Linked DNA regions of Saccharomyces cerevisiae S288C. The gene in region 2 interacts genetically with the main gene of each other region. Each region holds a gene or a part of one and is shown on either strand. Other genes may lie near its edges.

Region 1 (4,239 bases), on a different chromosome or scaffold from region 2:
AACCGAGCTTTCAGGAAAAGACTACGGCAGTAAAGAATTGCTTTACTGGGCGTATAAAACCGGGAGAATCAAGACATTCTAATGACTTGATTCAGGATGAGAGCTTAATAGGTGCATCTTAGCAAGCTAAAATTTGGACAGCTCTCATTACTAAATTAAGATAGAAAAATGCCTGCTACTTTACATGATTCTACGAAAATCCTTTCTCTAAATACTGGAGCCCAAATCCCTCAAATAGGTTTAGGTACGTGGCAGTCGAAAGAGAACGATGCTTATAAGGCTGTTTTAACCGCTTTGAAAGATGGCTACCGACACATTGATACTGCTGCTATTTACCGTAATGAAGACCAAGTCGGTCAAGCCATCAAGGATTCAGGTGTTCCTCGGGAAGAAATCTTTGTTACTACAAAGTTATGGTGTACACAACACCACGAACCTGAAGTAGCGCTGGATCAATCACTAAAGAGGTTAGGATTGGACTACGTAGACTTATATTTGATGCATTGGCCTGCCAGATTAGATCCAGCCTACATCAAAAATGAAGACATCTTGAGTGTGCCAACAAAGAAGGATGGTTCTCGTGCAGTGGATATCACCAATTGGAATTTCATCAAAACCTGGGAATTAATGCAGGAACTACCAAAGACTGGTAAAACTAAGGCCGTTGGAGTCTCCAACTTTTCTATAAATAACCTGAAAGATCTATTAGCATCTCAAGGTAATAAGCTTACGCCAGCTGCTAACCAAGTCGAAATACATCCATTACTACCTCAAGACGAATTGATTAATTTTTGTAAAAGTAAAGGCATTGTGGTTGAAGCTTATTCTCCGTTAGGTAGTACCGATGCTCCACTATTGAAGGAACCGGTTATCCTTGAAATTGCGAAGAAAAATAACGTTCAACCCGGACACGTTGTTATTAGCTGGCACGTCCAAAGAGGTTATGTTGTCTTGCCAAAATCTGTGAATCCCGATCGAATCAAAACGAACAGGAAAATATTTACTTTGTCTACTGAGGACTTTGAAGCTATCAATAACATATCGAAGGAAAAGGGCGAAAAAAGGGTTGTACATCCAAATTGGTCTCCTTTCGAAGTATTCAAGTAATTGTTTTTGCGTGTTTCTCGTATGATTGTAATATGTAGATAAATTAAACATAAGTATATCAAATGTCGATATTCTTAAGACTGTTTCGTAAATATGTTAAATACCGGATGTGACTACATATAAAAAGTGCGCCTTTTACAGTGATAATTAGCGTCAATCAATAAAATATTTGTAAAATAGGAAGCGAAATCCCGCAGATGCCAGAATAGGTGGTGTATAAGGCAAGAAAACTTTACCTGCATAAATTAGTATTGAACACCAATCAAGTAGTCAGCCAATTGCTCGACAATCTTGGTGGCCTCACCGGCTTGTACGGTTGGTGGATAATGAGCAATAATAACGGTTTGCTTAGTTCTTACACAAACAACACCCTCAGCATCATGTCTACCGTAGATACTTCTATCGTCAGCTCTCAACAACATGAACTTTTGGCCTTGAATATGCAAACCATTGCTTTGCAAACCAGCTGGATTGTCGAAGCCTTGAACAATTTCACCAATTTCGTTTGGTTGCAAAGATAGGCCACCAGAAGTAGCCCAAACAGCGTCACCTGCTCTCGAGTAGATGACAGCTTTGTCGACTTTACCGGTTCCTATTAAGTTATCAGTGTATGCTGTTTAAAAGTAGGAGAAAAAAACGGAAAGAAATTCATGTTTGAAATTTCATATGTTTTTTGATATTCCAGTTAGTAATTTACTCTGAGTGGTTAATCTTCGAAATTACGCGCATCAACAAAAATCGGGCATTGCCAAACATTGTCACACAAGCTAACCTCCGACTCATTTCTTTCTTAATCAATTGATAATTGTCTCGTTCACATACCTTGCCAAGACATAATTTGCGATCGTAGTTGGGTTTATGTTGTGTATGTAATTTATCTTTTCTCAAGGATCACACAGTTGTTTTAAGAAGGGAATGAGAAAGGGTCAACTGAGCTTTAAAAAGAAAAAAAATATTAATGCGGGTAATGAGTTTCGTACAAAGACATTTCATGGCGTGTTCTCGCCAAAAATCATGGTAAAACCTCCCACACAGTAACCTCATACTAAATACTACAACATGTCATCACTCCATTTCTTTGCGATTGTACATACTAATATATATAAACAAAGTAACGTCTCCTCTAATCCTCGTCTTCGTCGTCCTCGATGACCGCAACCCTTCTTCTTTTTGTCTCGCTCCTATCTTTTTCTTCTTCTTCCTCTTCTCTGTACATTGCTGCTCCTTCTCTTTTTAAATTTCTTAGACGAGAGGCGTTCTCTTCATCCGCGTCCTCTTCTTCTTCTTCTTCCTCATTATCATCCTCTTCGTCGTCAAACGCAGCCTCCTCTTCCTCATCGTCGTCGACTAAAAAGTCATCTTCTTCATATTCATTTCTTCTCGAGGCTCCATAGGTAGTGGGTGAATTTTGCTTTCTAAATCCCGTCTCAAAAGCGGCATCTGGGGATTCTTGTTTCTCCTTTTCTTTGAGCTGTCTTCTCCTTCTGTCTCTTAAAATCTGGCTTTGCTTTCTCTCTAACTCCTTCTTTTCCACTTCAGGATCCATACTTACAATGTATGTTCCAGGACCCTTGCTTTGTCTTTGGTTCCTTCTTATAACAGCTTTACTTAGTTTTTGATGTATTTTTGAATTCGTCGAAGTTGGAATAAACATCAACGTCTTTTTTATTTCACCCCCTTCGTAACACTGGATCAACTCTTGTTGGTCATGCGATACTGTCAAAAAAGTGTTGCTCGTATCGTTGACCAATATATCTGTACACTCTTCACCAACTTTTAGCGAATATGTACCGTCTGACCACTGCACTATTTGTGTATTTGATTCTTTAAAGACATGTTGGTCTTTGTCACGAGAGTATCTCCATCTAACAGTGTTTTCATCAATCAGGCGGTCGTCCAGTTGATCCTCCCTAGAAGCTGAATTGCTTGCCCTTTCGTTTACTTTGGCCTCAAAACTTGGAGGGTCGAAAGGAATTGGATCGATAGTTAAAAAGTTGGGAATTCTAGCATAGAAAATTTCGTTGTGAGACGCCGTTTCATTCACATTAGCTTTACTTGGAATAATATGTCTGACAAGCTCTACATTTTCCTCTTTAAAAGTGTGAGTAGTCTCATCTTGATCAGAAAAGTTATTAGCATCCTCACCATAAAATTTTCGGGTGTACATGGCTTGCTCCTCTGCTTCATCATCATCTAACCCGAGACTTTCTCTATGACGACTTCTATGGTTGATATTCTCTCCCTCGTCGTCTTCATCACTATCACTATCACTTTTTTCAGTCTCCGATTTTTTAACATCATCATCATCATCGTCATCATTGTCATCTCCAAATAAATCATCTAGTTCTGCGTCTTCTTCTTGTTCCTCTTCTTTAGTATCATCATTTCCATTGACTTCCTTGACATTATCATCTTGAGAGCGGCTTGTTTCCTCATTGCTTGTACTATTGGTGGTAACGCCGACGTTATTGCTGATTTGCTCCTTCTGTGGTTGATCCTGTGGGCTTTCAGATGACATCTTAATTATAGTCCAGTATATCTAATTGGATTACTTTGATTGGACGCACCTAGTTTACGCAACCTATCTACTTAACGACTTTCTTCAGCTTTCGTATTCACTTCTATGAGCTTGTTCTTTTTTTTTTTGTTTTTTCGTTTTTCTTTACGTAGCAGATAGTCACCCGTAACGATTGAATATGGCAAAGCTTTTTACATAATAATGGTACTTATGGCAATAGTGACATTTTACATAAACTCTTCATTGACTAAGACTACTTTAGAATTCTTTTCAATGGCTCAATATCACCTTCTTGTCCTTGTTTGACATATACTAGGAAATATGGAGTTGCAGTGTTACCCTCATTGAAATTGAAGACCTCCTCTTCCTGGACCTCACTGATGGTTTCATCATTGTACTTCCTCCAAATTCCATTGCGATTTCTGTCCTTGATATATATCCAATAGTGACCATAACTGGCCTCGCCGCGATGAATAAAAACCGAAAACAGTGAGTAACCATATTCCTTGAAATCGTCAAATTGATGGCTTATTTTCTCTTCCAAACTGTTGATATCATTGTATAATTTCATCAATTCATTATCGATATTTTGAACGTTGTTTCTCAGCGTCTTT
Region 2 (6,378 bases):
TGTCTGCGGTGGATCCCACCAGGGCCCTATCGGTTTCAGGTACTGGAGAAATCCAGGAGCCTGGGGGCCAGGCATCATCTCCAGTGATAAAAGTGAAGGCCGTTTTCTCGGATGGGTCTCCTCCTTGATTAATGCTGCATTTACGTACCAAGGTACTGAACTGGTTGGGATCACCGCTGGTGAAGCGGCTAACCCAAGAAAGACCGTTCCAAGAGCTATCAATAAAGTCGTCTTTAGAATCGTACTATTCTATATTATGTCTTTGTTCTTTATTGGTCTACTGGTTCCATACAACGATTCCCGTTTATCTGCTAGTTCTGCTGTTATTGCATCATCACCCTTCGTTATTTCCATTCAAAACGCTGGTACTTATGCTCTTCCAGATATTTTCAACGCCGTGGTGTTGATTACTGTTGTATCTGCCGCTAATTCGAATGTTTACGTTGGTTCCCGTGTTCTTTACTCTTTAGCTAGGACTGGTAACGCACCAAAGCAATTTGGATACGTCACCAGACAGGGTGTTCCATATCTCGGTGTTGTTTGCACTGCTGCATTGGGTCTTTTGGCATTCCTGGTTGTCAATAACAATGCAAACACTGCATTTAACTGGTTGATCAACATTTCCACTTTGGCTGGGTTATGCGCCTGGTTATTCATCTCTTTGGCACATATTAGGTTCATGCAAGCTTTAAAGCACCGTGGTATTTCTCGTGATGATCTGCCCTTCAAGGCCAAATTGATGCCTTATGGTGCCTACTACGCAGCCTTTTTTGTCACCGTCATCATATTCATCCAAGGGTTCCAAGCGTTCTGTCCGTTCAAAGTTTCTGAGTTTTTCACATCTTACATCTCCTTGATTCTTTTAGCCGTTGTGTTCATTGGTTGCCAGATATACTACAAATGCAGATTTATTTGGAAGCTAGAAGATATTGACATCGATTCCGACAGAAGAGAAATCGAAGCAATTATTTGGGAAGACGACGAGCCTAAGAATTTATGGGAGAAATTCTGGGCTGCTGTTGCATAGTCACAGAACCTCTTGCATGCCTTCAAAATAGAAAAAAATAAAAAAATAGACGTTTCATTAATCAAAATAGCCTGTAGAGATTTTGAGGGATTGCCCCAAACTTTATGTATAATATCACCACTTATTATTCACTATTCATAGTATGTTACATCATAAGGCCATTGTCACCTTCGGCCAGCGATAGTACTCAAATCTATAATAAATTTTCCATATTATCCTTTACGTACTTGATAGCGTGTATAACAGGGTCATTATTCACGATATGTTCAACTGTTGTCATTTTCGTGTTATTGCACTGAAACAAAAGAACCCTACCAAAAAATTCGTTAGAGAAAAACTAAAAGTACAAGATCTTATACTGAAGACCCTTCATTTTTTAGGCCCAACTTCTATATTAAGAAGATCCCTGGACCCTGCTAGAAATTTTCAATTAGCTTATCATTTTTCTTCATTGCGAGCGTTCGTTTTCATTAAGCATTCGTTCTCTTCACTATGCATAAAGCATCCAGTTCAAAGAAAAGCTTTGATGATACTATTGAACTAAAAAAAAATGAACAATTACTGAAACTGATCAACTCTAGTGAATTCACCCTTCACAATTGTGTGGAGTTACTGTGCAAACACTCCGAAAATATTGGTATACATTACTATTTATGTCAGAAATTGGCCACATTTCCTCACAGCGAACTACAGTTCTATATTCCCCAACTAGTACAGGTCCTCGTCACCATGGAGACAGAATCAATGGCTTTAGAAGATTTACTATTAAGGTTGAGGGCGGAAAACCCTCATTTTGCACTACTGACGTTTTGGCAGTTACAAGCGTTACTAACGGATTTATCTACTGACCCCGCTTCTTATGGCTTCCAAGTGGCTAGAAGAGTCTTAAACAACTTACAAACCAATCTCTTTAACACAAGTTCAGGTAGCGATAAAAATGTTAAAATACATGAAAACGTTGCACCGGCCTTAGTTCTTTCCTCTATGATAATGTCGGCTATAGCATTCCCCCAATTAAGCGAAGTGACCAAACCATTAGTGGAATCTCAAGGTAGAAGACAAAAAGCTTTCGTTTTTAAGTTGGCTAGAAGTGCAATGAAAGATTTTACCAAGAACATGACCTTGAAAAATACCCTACTAAACAAGAAAACTTCCAGATCCAAAAGAGTTAGCTCAAATCGCAGTTCAACTCCGACTTCTCCAATAGATTTAATAGATCCAATAAAAACTAAAGAAGATGCATCCTTCAGGAAATCCAGACATAGTGAGGTAAAATTGGATTTCGACATTGTGGATGATATAGGTAACCAGGTCTTTGAAGAAAGAATCTCATCTTCAATCAAACTCCCAAAACGTAAACCTAAGTATTTGGATAATTCATACGTTCATAGGACATATGATGGCAAAAATATAAACAGGGACGGAAGCATTTCAAATACCGCAAAGGCTCTCGATGGAAATAAAGGTGATTATATTTCTCCAAAGGGACGTAATGATGAAAATAATGAGATTGGTAACAATGAAGATGAAACTGGTGGTGAAACGGAGGAGGACGCGGACGCTTTAAACTCTGATCACTTCACCAGTTCTATGCCAGATCTGCATAATATTCAACCAAGGACTTCTTCTGCTTCATCTGCTTCTTTAGAAGGGACACCTAAGTTAAACAGGACCAATTCCCAACCCCTTTCGCGCCAGGCATTCAAAAACAGTAAAAAAGCGAATTCTTCTTTGAGTCAAGAAATTGACTTGTCGCAATTATCGACCACTTCAAAAATAAAAATGTTAAAAGCAAATTATTTTCGTTGCGAGACACAATTTGCCATTGCGCTAGAAACAATATCTCAAAGGCTAGCTCGAGTACCGACAGAAGCTAGATTGAGTGCCTTACGAGCCGAGTTGTTTCTATTAAACAGGGACCTACCAGCGGAAGTAGATATCCCCACTTTATTGCCTCCAAATAAAAAAGGAAAGTTACATAAATTAGTGACCATTACTGCTAATGAGGCACAAGTTTTGAACTCTGCAGAAAAAGTTCCATATTTACTCCTGATAGAATACTTGAGAGACGAATTTGATTTTGACCCAACAAGTGAAACCAATGAAAGATTATTAAAGAAGATCAGTGGTAATCAGGGAGGCTTGATATTTGATTTAAATTACATGAATAGAAAAGAAAACAACGAAAATAGAAATGAAAGTACTCTTACTAGCAACAACACTCGATCTTCGGTATATGATAGTAACTCGTTCAACAACGGGGCCTCCCGCAATGAAGGTCTATCCAGTACCTCAAGAAGTGATTCAGCGTCCACAGCTCATGTTAGGACTGAAGTCAATAAAGAGGAAGATTTAGGTGATATGTCAATGGTAAAAGTCAGGAACAGAACGGATGACGAAGCGTATAGAAATGCTTTAGTAATACAGAGTGCCGCAAATGTTCCAATTTTACCTGATGATAGTCAAGACAGAAGCCCAGAGTTGAACTTTGGCTCAAACTTGGACGAAGTACTCATCGAGAATGGAATTAATAGCAAAAATATACATAGCCAAACTGACGCTTTAGCAGACCAGATGAGAGTTTCAGCTGTTATGTTAGCACAATTGGATAAGTCGCCACAACAGTTATCAGAAAGTACCAAACAAATCCGCGCTCAAATTATTTCATCAATGAAGGAGGTGCAGGATAAATTTGGTTACCATGATTTGGAAGCCCTTCATGGAATGGCAGGTGAGAGAAAATTGGAAAACGATTTAATGACGGGTGGTATTGACACTTCATATCTAGGTGAAGATTGGGCTACCAAGAAAGAGAGGATACGTAAAACTTCGGAATATGGCCATTTCGAAAACTGGGATTTATGTTCTGTAATCGCCAAGACGGGTGATGATTTGAGACAGGAGGCGTTTGCATACCAGATGATTCAAGCGATGGCCAATATTTGGGTTAAAGAAAAAGTTGACGTTTGGGTTAAAAGAATGAAAATTTTAATTACTAGTGCGAATACGGGACTTGTGGAGACCATCACAAATGCTATGTCTGTGCATAGTATTAAAAAGGCTTTAACCAAAAAAATGATTGAAGATGCAGAACTAGATGACAAGGGTGGTATTGCCTCTTTGAATGATCACTTCCTTAGAGCTTTTGGTAATCCTAATGGATTTAAGTATAGAAGAGCACAAGACAACTTTGCTTCTTCGTTAGCCGCATATTCTGTCATTTGCTATCTCTTGCAGGTTAAAGATAGACACAACGGTAACATTATGATCGATAACGAAGGCCATGTAAGTCACATCGATTTTGGATTTATGCTATCAAATTCACCCGGCTCAGTGGGCTTTGAGGCCGCACCATTCAAATTAACTTACGAATATATTGAACTGCTAGGCGGAGTAGAGGGAGAAGCGTTTAAAAAGTTTGTTGAACTAACTAAAAGTTCGTTCAAGGCTCTGAGAAAGTATGCTGATCAAATCGTATCAATGTGTGAGATTATGCAAAAGGACAATATGCAGCCTTGTTTCGATGCTGGCGAACAAACAAGTGTACAACTACGACAAAGGTTCCAATTGGACTTATCAGAAAAAGAAGTTGATGACTTCGTAGAAAATTTCTTGATAGGTAAATCTTTGGGTAGTATTTACACCAGAATATACGACCAATTTCAACTTATTACACAGGGTATATATAGCTGAGAAGGAAAATAGCTGTGACAGAACTGGAAAAACAATTTGCAAATGTCCGGAGAACAAAAAAATTGGAATTTTAGTAAAAGGAATATACATATATTTATTTATTGCCGAGAATAATAGAGCAGCTGACTCAGAAAAAGCAAGGTAAAAGAATGAGAGTAAAATAAATATGTGGTTAATTAACCATACATATAAATTATTATCTTATTTTCTGCGTAAAGCGTCAAACCGTTTCTTCAACTCATCTAGTTCATCATTTTCTTGCTCCTTCTTAGTCTTTCTTTTTGTAGTTTTCTTTTCTGATTGTTTCTTTTCGATCACTTCCTTTTTGATATCTTTCGGAATCTTGAGCTCGTTCTTGATATTTTCACTATTCTGCCTAGGCTTTTTAACAGTGATAGGGTGTTTAGCATCTGCATTGTCATTATCGTCATTATCTAAGGCTAAAATAGGCTTTTCTTCGTCATTATCCTCGATATCTCCCGAGGGGTCACTAAAGTCTGAAGAAATGTTAGAAGACGACGAAGATAAGGAATTCTCCAGCTTACTATATGGCACATCGTATGTTTTCGCGATTTCCTTCAAATAAAGATCAACTAGTTCTTCTTTTGGAACTGAGGGAGAGCATTTTTTTATAATCTTTTCAGGGACATCGATATGATCTGCTATTACTCCATTAACAAACTCAACGTTTATTTTCCAGGCCATCAAATCTTTCAATTGGCTAAGTTCTTTGACTTCATCAACGAAAAGAATCGCATAGATTAGGGATCTGATAGCTTCGTTAATACCATCATCCATATGCTCTTTGACAAGCTGTTCCTCGGTGGAGATATCGTTTATTACCTGCACTCTAGCCAGTAGTAATTCACAATATAGTTCCAATATCTCTAGTAGCTCAATATGAATATCGTCATGAATTAGCGTCTCCACACGATAATGCGCCTTCTGTTCTTTATTTGTCAGTAACAGTTGTGCAACCTGTCTTCGAGACTGCTTTGCAATCGCCTGTTGCTTTTCTTGAGCATATCTTAACCTTTGAATACACATTTTCAGGCATGTTTTAAGCTTGATCTATAACAATAATTTGGATGATAGTTTTACCCTTCTTCAGTTAGTACATCCTAGATCTTTTGCATACTAAAGCTTTTTAAAAATTACTATAAAATATAAACATACAGTGAACGGAATCATTGACGGAGCCATTTTTAGTTGTCGTATTCTCTTATCTATCTTCTATGTTGACTAGTTCTGATTGATTAGCTGGAACTAATAGTATATATAATTTTCACACCCTTTGGAATTCAGAAGGCGTTTTTTTTTTCATGAAACAAAACAATAGAGTGCGGATAGCCGATTCAGTTGATTCTAAAAGTATATAAAATGCGATAAGCGCATAAGCAGCCATTATAAACGTACATCTGAGTCTAGATATATACGTTTGTGTAGCGGGAAACGTTAAAAAAAAAAATCTTAATTATAGTTTATCAAATGACCATATCAACAGGATATTTTAATTCGTCATGTTGGCCCTTGGTGTCATATTCACTTAATCCGACAATGCCTCCAAACTTTAAAAATCTATCAAAACGTTTCAATCGTAAATCGTCAACTTTCTTAACCATATCTGGCCAATAGACTTCATGTTTATACTTGAAGTC
Region 3 (5,633 bases), on a different chromosome or scaffold from region 2:
ATACCGGGTCTCCTATGAAGATCAAAGCATTGGTATTAAATTTGCGACCCGACACACTTAACCTTGCGGAGTACGACGCTTCCGATGACTTCTTAAAAGAGCTAGAATACATCGACATATTTGATGCTTCCACCTTAAGGCAGCTAGAGATTTTGTCTTGGTACAGTCGCGACGATTTTCCCTCTGGCGAAGAAGGTGGTTTTGACAGGTTATATGTCAAATGGGGGCTAGAAGGATTTTGGAAATTTCCGAACATTGAGAAACTATCATTAGCGTCATTGGTTTACAGCGAATTTTTTCTAATGAATTGTTTGGCTGTGTTTCACAATTTAAAGATACTGAAACTTGATTACATGGGTAAATTTGACTTCGATGTGTCGTTGATTAACTTCTTATCTAAACAAGTGTGTGGCAAAAAATTACAGCGTTTTGACATACACTGCCAACTAAATCACAGGCTTTTTTTTCCCATGACAGATAACCCACTAACTCGCTTGAATTTCGATGGTTTCTGCCCTTGTTCAACTTGCAAAAATACAATTCACGAGGTCATTCTAAAAAAAATCTTTCCTGAAACCCGGTCAAAACTTTTAAAGAACCCAAATAAGTTCCAAGCCCATAATTTCTTTTACCAAATGTTTTTCGAGAACAAGATCATGCCCTATACAAACATTATTGACAACGAATCACCTGCGATGGGATGGGATTCTGTACCTATTGAAACGTTTGTACGAAAGTTCAATGAAAATCTGCAAAGCACCATAGAAAATACTGAGAATATTACAGTGAATAAAATTACTAGAGAAGATGCCATTAGTTTGTACCACTTATACCTTCATTATCTAAAAGACGTATTTAAAGTTTTTGAGCAAAGTTTGCCGAACTTAGAATATCTAACCATCAACGGTATACCTACAAAAATAATACAAGTGGACGAGTTACAACGATGCGCGGTTCCCCTCTTCTATAATAATGGCTATAAAAGCAACTCTGTTTATGAATTGGTGGACGCAGAAGCTCTATTTAGTTGATACTGTGAGACATGGCGGTTATAACACGTACATAATGATATATACTCTAAATACTGCAAATTGTCAACAAGAGGAAATCAAAACAAATGGATTGTATAGTCTAGTTAGAGCTTTCTCAGTGTTCTCACTGGATTGCAGTGATGTGACATAGTTCAATAAAACAAATTATGAGCAATAAAAGCAACCGCAGGAGTTTACGTGACATAGGGAATACGATTGGTCGAAATAATATACCAAGTGACAAGGACAATGTCTTTGTGAGATTGAGTATGTCCCCTTTGAGGACGACAAGCCAAAAAGAGTTTTTGAAACCACCTATGAGGATATCACCTAACAAGACAGATGGAATGAAGCATAGTATACAAGTAACACCAAGAAGGATTATGTCGCCGGAATGTCTGAAGGGCTATGTCTCTAAGGAAACTCAAAGCCTGGATAGGCCTCAGTTCAAAAATTCGAATAAAAATGTGAAGATCCAAAACTCAGATCATATAACTAATATAATATTCCCTACATCACCAACCAAACTGACATTCAGTAATGAAAATAAAATCGGGGGTGATGGTTCGTTAACGAGAATACGGGCCCGGTTTAAGAATGGACTCATGTCACCTGAAAGGATACAGCAGCAACAGCAGCAACATATTCTCCCATCGGATGCCAAAAGCAACACTGACCTCTGTTCTAATACTGAGCTCAAGGACGCCCCATTTGAGAATGACCTTCCTCGAGCTAAATTGAAAGGGAAGAATTTATTAGTTGAACTCAAGAAAGAAGAGGAAGACGTGGGAAATGGCATAGAATCCCTTACTAAATCGAACACTAAACTGAATTCCATGCTGGCGAACGAAGGTAAGATACACAAAGCTAGTTTCCAGAAAAGTGTAAAATTTAAACTACCTGATAATATAGTGACTGAAGAAACCGTGGAACTTAAAGAAATAAAGGACTTGCTACTACAAATGTTGAGAAGACAGCGAGAGATTGAATCAAGATTATCCAATATCGAACTTCAACTCACGGAAATACCGAAACATAAGTAATCATATCCCTTCTCACATTTTTTACACAGGAAGTAAGCAAGTTATGTTATATTTCCGACACTATAATTAATTCTTAGCAGTTAAAGGTGCTTTGTCTATATTACATTTACATACAGCTTGAGTGATCCTGACCGGATATAGGGTCCTATTTTCTTACGTGAACGGCTTTTCTTCTTGTTCCCGATGGCCTTCATGTGAAAAAGCACTCCTCGGGAGGCGGAAAAATATCAAAAGTACGGGGCGAAGTTTATAATGAAGATTTATCGATATAAATTTTGGTTATTTCAGGAGAACAAGAAAGCTCTTTACACTAAAATTATCAGAGAAGAAGCTGATATATTAGCCCTAAGGAGTACACCAAAACACAATGAATATTGTCAAATTACAAGTATGTATGCCTTTCTCGAATTCCCACACTGCTGAGCACAGTGAAAAAGTTTTTTCTACCTTTTAGGTTGTAATAAACGTTTCATATACTAACAAACTCTTCTGCGATTAGAGAAAATTTCCAATTTTGACTCAAGAGGATCTTTTTTCCACAATTGAAAAGTTCAGAGCCATTGACTTAGATGATAAAGGATGGGTTGAAAAACAGCAAGCTCTAGAAGCGGTGTCCAAAGATGGTGATGCTACTTATGACGAAGCAAGAGAAACCCTGAAGCATGTGGGTGTGGATGCGTCAGGCCGTGTTGAACTGGACGATTACGTCGGGTTGGTTGCAAAATTAAGAGAATCTAAAACAGGAGCTGCTCCACAGACCACTTTCAACGTAGCACCTAACTCAACCCCTATTGTTTCCACTGCTGCCACAGGACTACAGCACAAGGGTAAGGGTACTCAAGCCAAGATTATTGTTGCTGGCTCCCAAACAGGTACTACACATACCATCAATGAAGAAGAAAGACGTGAATTTACTAAACATATCAATAGCGTCTTGGCGGGAGACCAAGATATAGGTGATTTGCTTCCATTTCCTACTGATACTTTCCAATTATTTGATGAATGTAGGGATGGGTTGGTGCTATCTAAGTTGATCAACGACTCTGTTCCTGATACTATCGATACAAGAGTTTTGAATTGGCCTAAGAAGGGTAAGGAATTGAATAATTTTCAGGCTAGTGAAAATGCTAATATTGTTATTAATTCTGCAAAAGCCATTGGTTGTGTCGTTGTTAATGTTCATTCCGAGGACATTATTGAAGGTAGAGAGCATTTGATCCTGGGTTTGATTTGGCAAATTATTAGGAGAGGTTTGTTAAGTAAAATTGATATTAAGCTGCATCCTGAGTTATACCGTCTATTGGAGGATGATGAAACGTTGGAGCAATTTTTGAGGTTGCCTCCGGAGCAAATTCTACTACGTTGGTTTAACTACCATTTGAAGCAAGCAAACTGGAACAGAAGGGTTACCAATTTTTCAAAAGACGTGTCTGATGGTGAAAACTATACTATCTTGTTGAACCAGTTGGACCCCGCCTTGTGTTCTAAGGCACCATTACAAACCACAGATTTAATGGAGAGAGCTGAGCAAGTTTTACAAAATGCTGAAAAGCTAGATTGTAGAAAGTATTTAACCCCAAGTTCATTAGTTGCGGGGAACCCTAAATTAAACCTGGCTTTCGTGGCACATCTATTCAATACACATCCTGGATTAGAGCCTATTCAGGAAGAGGAAAAGCCTGAAATTGAAGAATTTGACGCCGAAGGTGAGAGAGAGGCAAGAGTCTTTACCTTATGGTTGAACTCTCTTGACGTTGATCCACCTGTCATTTCGCTGTTTGATGATTTGAAGGATGGTTTGATATTATTGCAAGCTTACGAAAAGGTGATGCCCGGTGCTGTTGATTTTAAACATGTCAACAAAAGACCGGCCTCGGGTGCAGAGATATCCAGATTCAAAGCCTTAGAAAACACCAACTATGCAGTCGACTTGGGCAGAGCCAAAGGATTTTCTTTGGTTGGTATCGAAGGATCTGATATTGTAGATGGTAACAAATTACTGACCTTAGGGTTAGTGTGGCAATTGATGCGTAGAAATATTTCGATAACCATGAAGACATTATCCTCAAGTGGTAGAGACATGAGTGATTCTCAAATATTAAAGTGGGCCCAAGACCAGGTAACTAAAGGTGGTAAAAACTCTACCATTAGATCATTTAAGGACCAAGCTTTATCAAACGCCCACTTCTTATTGGATGTTCTGAATGGTATCGCGCCGGGCTATGTTGATTATGATCTAGTCACCCCTGGTAACACCGAGGAAGAAAGGTACGCAAACGCAAGATTGGCTATTTCTATTGCTAGAAAGTTGGGTGCTTTGATTTGGTTGGTGCCAGAAGATATCAACGAAGTTCGTGCAAGATTAATTATTACTTTTATCGCTTCGTTAATGACTTTGAACAAATGAGCCAACAAACAACTTTCGTAACCTGTTTTCTACTCAGCTTTCTTGTTCCAATGCTCCGTTATACGATTGGTTAAGTGTACAACAATATATAGCCTCAAGTATTTCTGAAGTTTTTAATATGTAATAATAGATTTCAACTTCCACCTACTTTTATTCGTGATTACTGAGCCATTGTAAAAATGCCTCCAACGCTCAATGATTCCGTTGTCGTCTTCTATCATGCCTCTACTGGATTAAAAAATCGTAAATAAACTACTTATTAAGCCATATATCCTGTGAACTTTTTTTCATATACATCCAAGGTTCTTTGAAATATGCAGAAAATGTACGTGATAGTTAAGCTTTTAGGCATCGAACATTTCCGGACAATTGCACCCACATCCAGATGGGCACTCATCACCAATCTCCCACCATATCCTCGCGCACGAAGAGTGTAAAACATGTTGACAATTTCCACATATGAAGCTACTTCTTGTCACTCTTAAATCACAGTAATTACAATTTCGGGCTAGGAATTTTTCTTCTCCAAACTCGTTGTTCTCGATCCAGTGCGTAAGTACACCATTGTAAGGACTTTTCTTGTTATTGTTAGGGGGGATGCCTTGGGAACTATAAGAACTTCTGAAATCAGTACTAACTTTTAGAATTTTGACCCTTTCTAAAGGCAGTCCCCATCTAAAAAGTAACTTTGAATATTGATAAATATAAGTTTGGAACTTTGGTATGTCTGATACCTCTAAATGTAAGAGGTCTTCTTGTTCATAAGCTTCTATAATATCGTCATGTAAAAGCTCGACTTTGATGTCAGGCATTCTACTATGAAAAGGGCTGGATGAAATGGCACGGCTGCCCTGCTTTTGGGCCGGCTCCGTAAATTTACTACTACCATTAAGAGTGTTGTGCGTCCTTAACCTAGCGTGGTGGTCGTCGGACCTTATTGAGGAGTTGTCTCCTCCATGAATGTTTTTTCCTCTCAAATGATTACCATAAAAATTTGGTGTAACAGTGCTACTCCTAGACCTGGTGGAAAAAGCATCAGATCCTTTCCAAAATGATGTGTTTTGACTTTCGTTGTCATTAAACACAATGGTTCCTTCCATATTCTCTAATTCTTGCCCATAATATCTGGCTGGAATCTTTTTTCTCCTGGCG
Region 4 (4,326 bases), on a different chromosome or scaffold from region 2:
GGGAGACTTCCTTATTCAGGTTTTCCACGGTACCGGGATTGACCAGCTCCAAAGATTGTCTGTGAGAATGCAATTGTTTGTACGTATCCACAACAAAGCTAGATATTGGGTTTGAGGAGAAGAAATTCCCCTTGGATTGCTTCGCAGTCAAAGGAGAAAGGGCCGGGATAGTGGGAATTTGAGAGGCCTCTGCTAATGGAGTTGGTGCAGACATGATTCACGTCGGTTATTGGTAGTCTTTTATTGTTTTGCACGATGGTTAAAAGGCCTTATACGCATACACCGCTTTCAAAGAATTGAAGATTGAGTTCATGTCCACCAAAAGACGCCTTTTTCACTTTTTGCAAACGCCGAATATATCCGTCGTCGTAGGTGATAAAAAGCTAAAGAGAATATAAACAATAGATAATAATAATAATAATAATAATAGTAATAGTAATAATAATAATAGTTATATTATAATGGACTACCGCATGACTGATTTCGTGAGGTCGGGCAGCTTAGAACTTTTTGTTTTGCAACAAGTTCTTACCCATGTCCCTGGCAGTCAGGTAGACAGTTCTATATAGAGTGTATAAATCAAGAGTACTGGAGAAAGTGTCCAAAAACCCGAATGGCAACATACATGGAATCCAGCCTTGAGCCAATTCAAGGGCAAAGGAACCACCTGGCATGCTGTATTGCTTGGCGTATCCCTTCTTCAAGTGATGAGTCATACCAGGAGTGTAAACTTCGGCTTCAGTGGCATATGGCAATGCTGCGATTTGCGTACCATGTAAGATGGTAAAATAGTCGTCAGCAAAGTGAACACCTGTGTGCCCTTCAGTACCAACAGCGGTTCCGAATAGAATTAAGTACTCGGATACGGAAGCGTGTAGGATGATCATTTGGCCCATCGCACCACCAGCATTGTTGAAGACCCATTCTTCTTTGACGTACCTGTTGATGTATTCGTCCCCGTAATGAGAGGCAAGTGCGTCTCTGACATCCTGTAACAGGTCTTCAGTGGATAAACCTTCTGCTGCGTTGTGTTTGCTAATCACCGAGTTACATATTTCGTTCAAAGTTTTTGGATCGAACATGTAATTGGTTGGCAACCAGGTAGTGAACAATACGTTCATAATGTAGCCTACAACACCAATCAACAAAAGGAGTGGGAAAAACTTCATGGCTATAATGGTCTGGGCTAGTCTTAGTTTGATTGAGCGACAAGAGAGATCTGAACCCAGTGTCAAACGTTACCGCTTCTTTCTCTTATATACCATGGCGCTGCAGATCTATCCAAATTCTTCCATACTGAAAATCATCCAAACGAGAACGATAGCACCGGTAGTTTTCCTTGCGGCTTATACGAGGGCCGTGGTTCGATTCTGCCCTGGAGCGTAAGGGCAGGAATGTGCATTGCATAAGATCATAATGGGATACTTCGTTGATAATAAGCAGAATCAACATAGCAGACTGCTAGTGGCATACTCCACAACCCTTGTTTTTTTTTTTTTTTTTGTTTGAATAACTGTACTTCTATAGAAGCTCTATCTACAGCATGTTTGACGTTTGCTAAGTTGTAGGGAGAAAAGAGGAAAGTGAAAAGAAGGTAAGGAATTTATCGGAACTAGAAAAAGAGTTTGGATCTTCGTAGTGAAGGTATCGAACGTAACGCTATGACTCCCGAACAAAAGGCCAAACTAGTATGTGTGAAAATGATTCTGTGTTTGTATTTTAACCGTGGGTTTCTTTTTACTAACAATTTAACGATGAGATGAGCTGTGCAGGAGGCTAACAGGAAATTAGCAATAGAACGGTTAAGAAAAAGGGGAATACTGAGTAGCGACCAATTGAATCGAATAGAAAGTAGGAATGAACCTTTAAAAACCCGGCCTCTCGCAGTTACTAGTGGCAGCAATCGGGATGATAATGCAGCAGCCGCAGTACATGTGCCAAATCATAATGGACAACCGTCTGCGCTTGCTAACACTAACACTAACACTACTTCACTTTATGGTAGCGGAGTAGTTGATGGAAGTAAAAGGGATGCGTCGGTACTCGACAAAAGGCCAACGGATAGAATCAGACCTAGCATAAGGAAACAAGATTACATTGAGTACGATTTTGCCACCATGCAGAACTTGAATGGTGGTTATATCAACCCTAAGGACAAGCTTCCAAATTCTGACTTTACCGATGACCAAGAATTTGAATCTGAGTTTGGATCTAAAAAGCAGAAGACACTACAGGACTGGAAAAAGGAACAACTTGAACGGAAAATGCTGTACGAAAATGCACCTCCTCCAGAGCATATTTCAAAGGCGCCGAAATGTATTGAATGTCATATTAATATTGAGATGGATCCTGTGCTACATGATGTGTTCAAGTTACAAGTTTGTAAACAGTGTTCTAAGGAGCATCCAGAAAAGTATGCACTACTGACGAAAACAGAATGTAAGGAAGATTACTTTTTAACAGACCCCGAATTGAATGATGAGGATCTCTTTCATAGACTAGAAAAGCCGAACCCTCATTCGGGGACATTTGCAAGAATGCAACTATTTGTTAGATGTGAAGTGGAAGCCTTTGCGTTCAAGAAATGGGGTGGAGAAGAAGGTTTAGATGAGGAATGGCAACGTCGTGAAGAAGGAAAGGCTCACAGAAGGGAGAAAAAATACGAAAAGAAAATCAAGGAAATGCGACTGAAAACAAGAGCTCAAGAATATACTAATAGATTAAGAGAAAAGAAGCATGGGAAAGCCCATATTCATCATTTTAGTGATCCAGTTGATGGAGGTATTGATGAAGACGGTTATCAAATTCAAAGAAGAAGATGTACAGACTGCGGGCTAGAAACTGAAGAAATTGACATTTAAATGTTGGTTATGTATATAAGAATATAACAAGAAAGTCATAATAAGGTGTTTTGATTGTGTTCATTGATTGATATCCCATTTGTCACTCGTACATAATTAACTATCTCGGAAAAACTGGTTTGAAAATCTTTTATTCATCCACCTTATTTAATAATATGATTACAATCAATTCCTTGGGTGCATAAAATTACACCTATTCTTGCTTCTCTTTCTCGCCTGATAAAGTTGTTTTGCCTTATATGTTTATAGTTTTTAATATTTATTTGAAGGCCACATGGGGCCTCTTTCCCCCATTGGTTGAATAAGTATCCCTGTAGTGCGCCTAAAATGCTAAAAATAATAATGAACCTACACCTAGCATACCCGCAGAAATATACCAAATGGCATTGGAGGTTAAAAATGAGGTATTTTGTCTTTTAATGGCATTCGTCTTGTGTCTGTTTTCCAGGCTCCTCCTCACTAAACTTCTCAGTGATCTTTTCTTATTAGAGGATGGGTCGTCAGTGCTGGTCGCTGACGATGTTGGGTTCAAAGTTTCTGTTGGAAGCATCATTGGTGGTCTATAAGCCAAATATAGTGGTTGCATTGGAGTACCATCATATTGGTACAATTGCAGGGTGTAAATACCATGGTAAGGATCTATACCTACGGCATATTCCTTGAAAGTTTCTGTTTGGTTATATCTAGAATAAGTCGAAACTCCGTCATCATTGCATGGGTCGCTGAATAGTTGTCTACCGTCAACTTCAATAGGATTCAGAACTAACGTACCGTTTTCTGAAATGTTATATGTACCATGCTGATAAATCAACGAAGCCATGGGGCAAGTTGGGTTACGAGGATTGCCACTTACCTGGTAAGTAGCTTCTTCGTACCAACCATCTTCAGTGAACGAATAGCTAAGCCCGGGCAATGAAGGTTCTATCAATAGTTCATCTACGGGATCATAAAACCCCGGTCCCGTGAACACTTGATTTGATTTAGATGACCAGGTACCGTATATAGAGTTACTTTCGTCTTCACAATAGACCTTTTGAGCAAACAAATACCCGCCTAAGATTAGCTTTTTTAATGTAAACTTTTTCGACCACATAGTAATAAAGTGCAACAAATAATAATGGTTATAATACCGATCCTTTCCTCAGAATGATGTCTTACTTCAGTTTAATATGCCGGTAGGTTCTCGAAAAAGATGAGATCTCAAGCTTTAGTATGACTATATATCTATAATCTTAGAGAGGCTTTCTATTTATAACTGTTTGCTAATTACTACTCTCCTTTGCTTACCGCAAACGTTAGAACGAAAGGAAGAAAAAAATACTGGAAAATCGCGTCATCTTTTCCGTTCATGATGATAATTATATCAATCGTTGAAAGAATATTGGTATATTACTATTCAGCTGGTTTCAGGTGAAGAATATTGAGGCTAGATGTTTGTAGGTGGGCATTAAAATTATCTGGTATT

What was found.
Region 1: mutations in PIK1 (region 2) and PFY1 are lethal when combined (synthetic lethality), as found in Saccharomyces cerevisiae (2 studies listed by BioGRID, with this or other methods).
Region 3: mutations in PIK1 (region 2) and SAC6 are lethal when combined (synthetic lethality), as found in Saccharomyces cerevisiae (2 studies listed by BioGRID).
Region 4: mutations in PIK1 (region 2) and ERG2 are lethal when combined (synthetic lethality), as found in Saccharomyces cerevisiae (2 studies listed by BioGRID, with this or other methods).

Annotation. Positions count from the first base shown.
Region 1 is NC_001147.6:550,946-555,184, forward strand, and holds PFY1 (profilin), read right to left. Parts: upstream 1,943-4,239; coding exon 1,930-1,942; intron 1,721-1,929; coding exon 1,353-1,720; downstream 1-1,352. Other genes in the region: glycerol 2-dehydrogenase (NADP(+)) GCY1, read left to right, coding at 169-1,107; Paf1-complex subunit LEO1, read right to left, coding at 2,231-3,625; ubiquitin-specific protease UBP2, read right to left, coding at 3,879-4,239. UniProt on the Saccharomyces cerevisiae protein: Binds to actin and affects the structure of the cytoskeleton. At high concentrations, profilin prevents the polymerization of actin, whereas it enhances it at low concentrations. By binding to PIP2, it inhibits the formation of IP3 and DG.
Region 2 is NC_001146.8:139,359-145,736, forward strand, and holds PIK1 (1-phosphatidylinositol 4-kinase), read left to right. Parts: upstream 1-1,519; coding exon 1,520-4,720; downstream 4,721-6,378. Other genes in the region: LYP1 (lysine permease), read left to right, coding at 1-1,027; IST1 (Ist1p), read right to left, coding at 4,922-5,791, 5,897-5,923; PDR17 (phosphatidylinositol transporter), read right to left, coding at 6,205-6,378. UniProt on the Saccharomyces cerevisiae protein: Acts on phosphatidylinositol (PI) in the first committed step in the production of the second messenger inositol 1,4,5,-trisphosphate. PIK1 is part of a nuclear phosphoinositide cycle and could control cytokinesis through the actin cytoskeleton.
Region 3 is NC_001136.10:712,188-717,820, reverse strand, and holds SAC6 (fimbrin), read left to right. Parts: upstream 1-2,441; coding exon 2,442-2,462; intron 2,463-2,573; coding exon 2,574-4,481; downstream 4,482-5,633. Other genes in the region: YDR131C (uncharacterized protein), read left to right, coding at 1-1,031; FIN1 (Fin1p), read left to right, coding at 1,199-2,074; MTC5 (Mtc5p), read right to left, coding at 4,826-5,633. UniProt on the Saccharomyces cerevisiae protein: Binds to actin, and functionally associates with actin structures involved in the development and maintenance of cell polarity.
Region 4 is NC_001145.3:664,380-668,705, reverse strand, and holds ERG2 (C-8 sterol isomerase ERG2), read right to left. Parts: upstream 1,170-4,326; coding exon 501-1,169; downstream 1-500. Other genes in the region: TOM complex pore protein TOM40, read right to left, coding at 1-214; DNA repair protein RAD14, read left to right, coding at 1,662-1,688, 1,773-2,861; ROT1 (Rot1p), read right to left, coding at 3,184-3,954. UniProt on the Saccharomyces cerevisiae protein: C-8 sterol isomerase; part of the third module of ergosterol biosynthesis pathway that includes the late steps of the pathway. ERG2 catalyzes the reaction which results in unsaturation at C-7 in the B ring of sterols and thus converts fecosterol to episterol.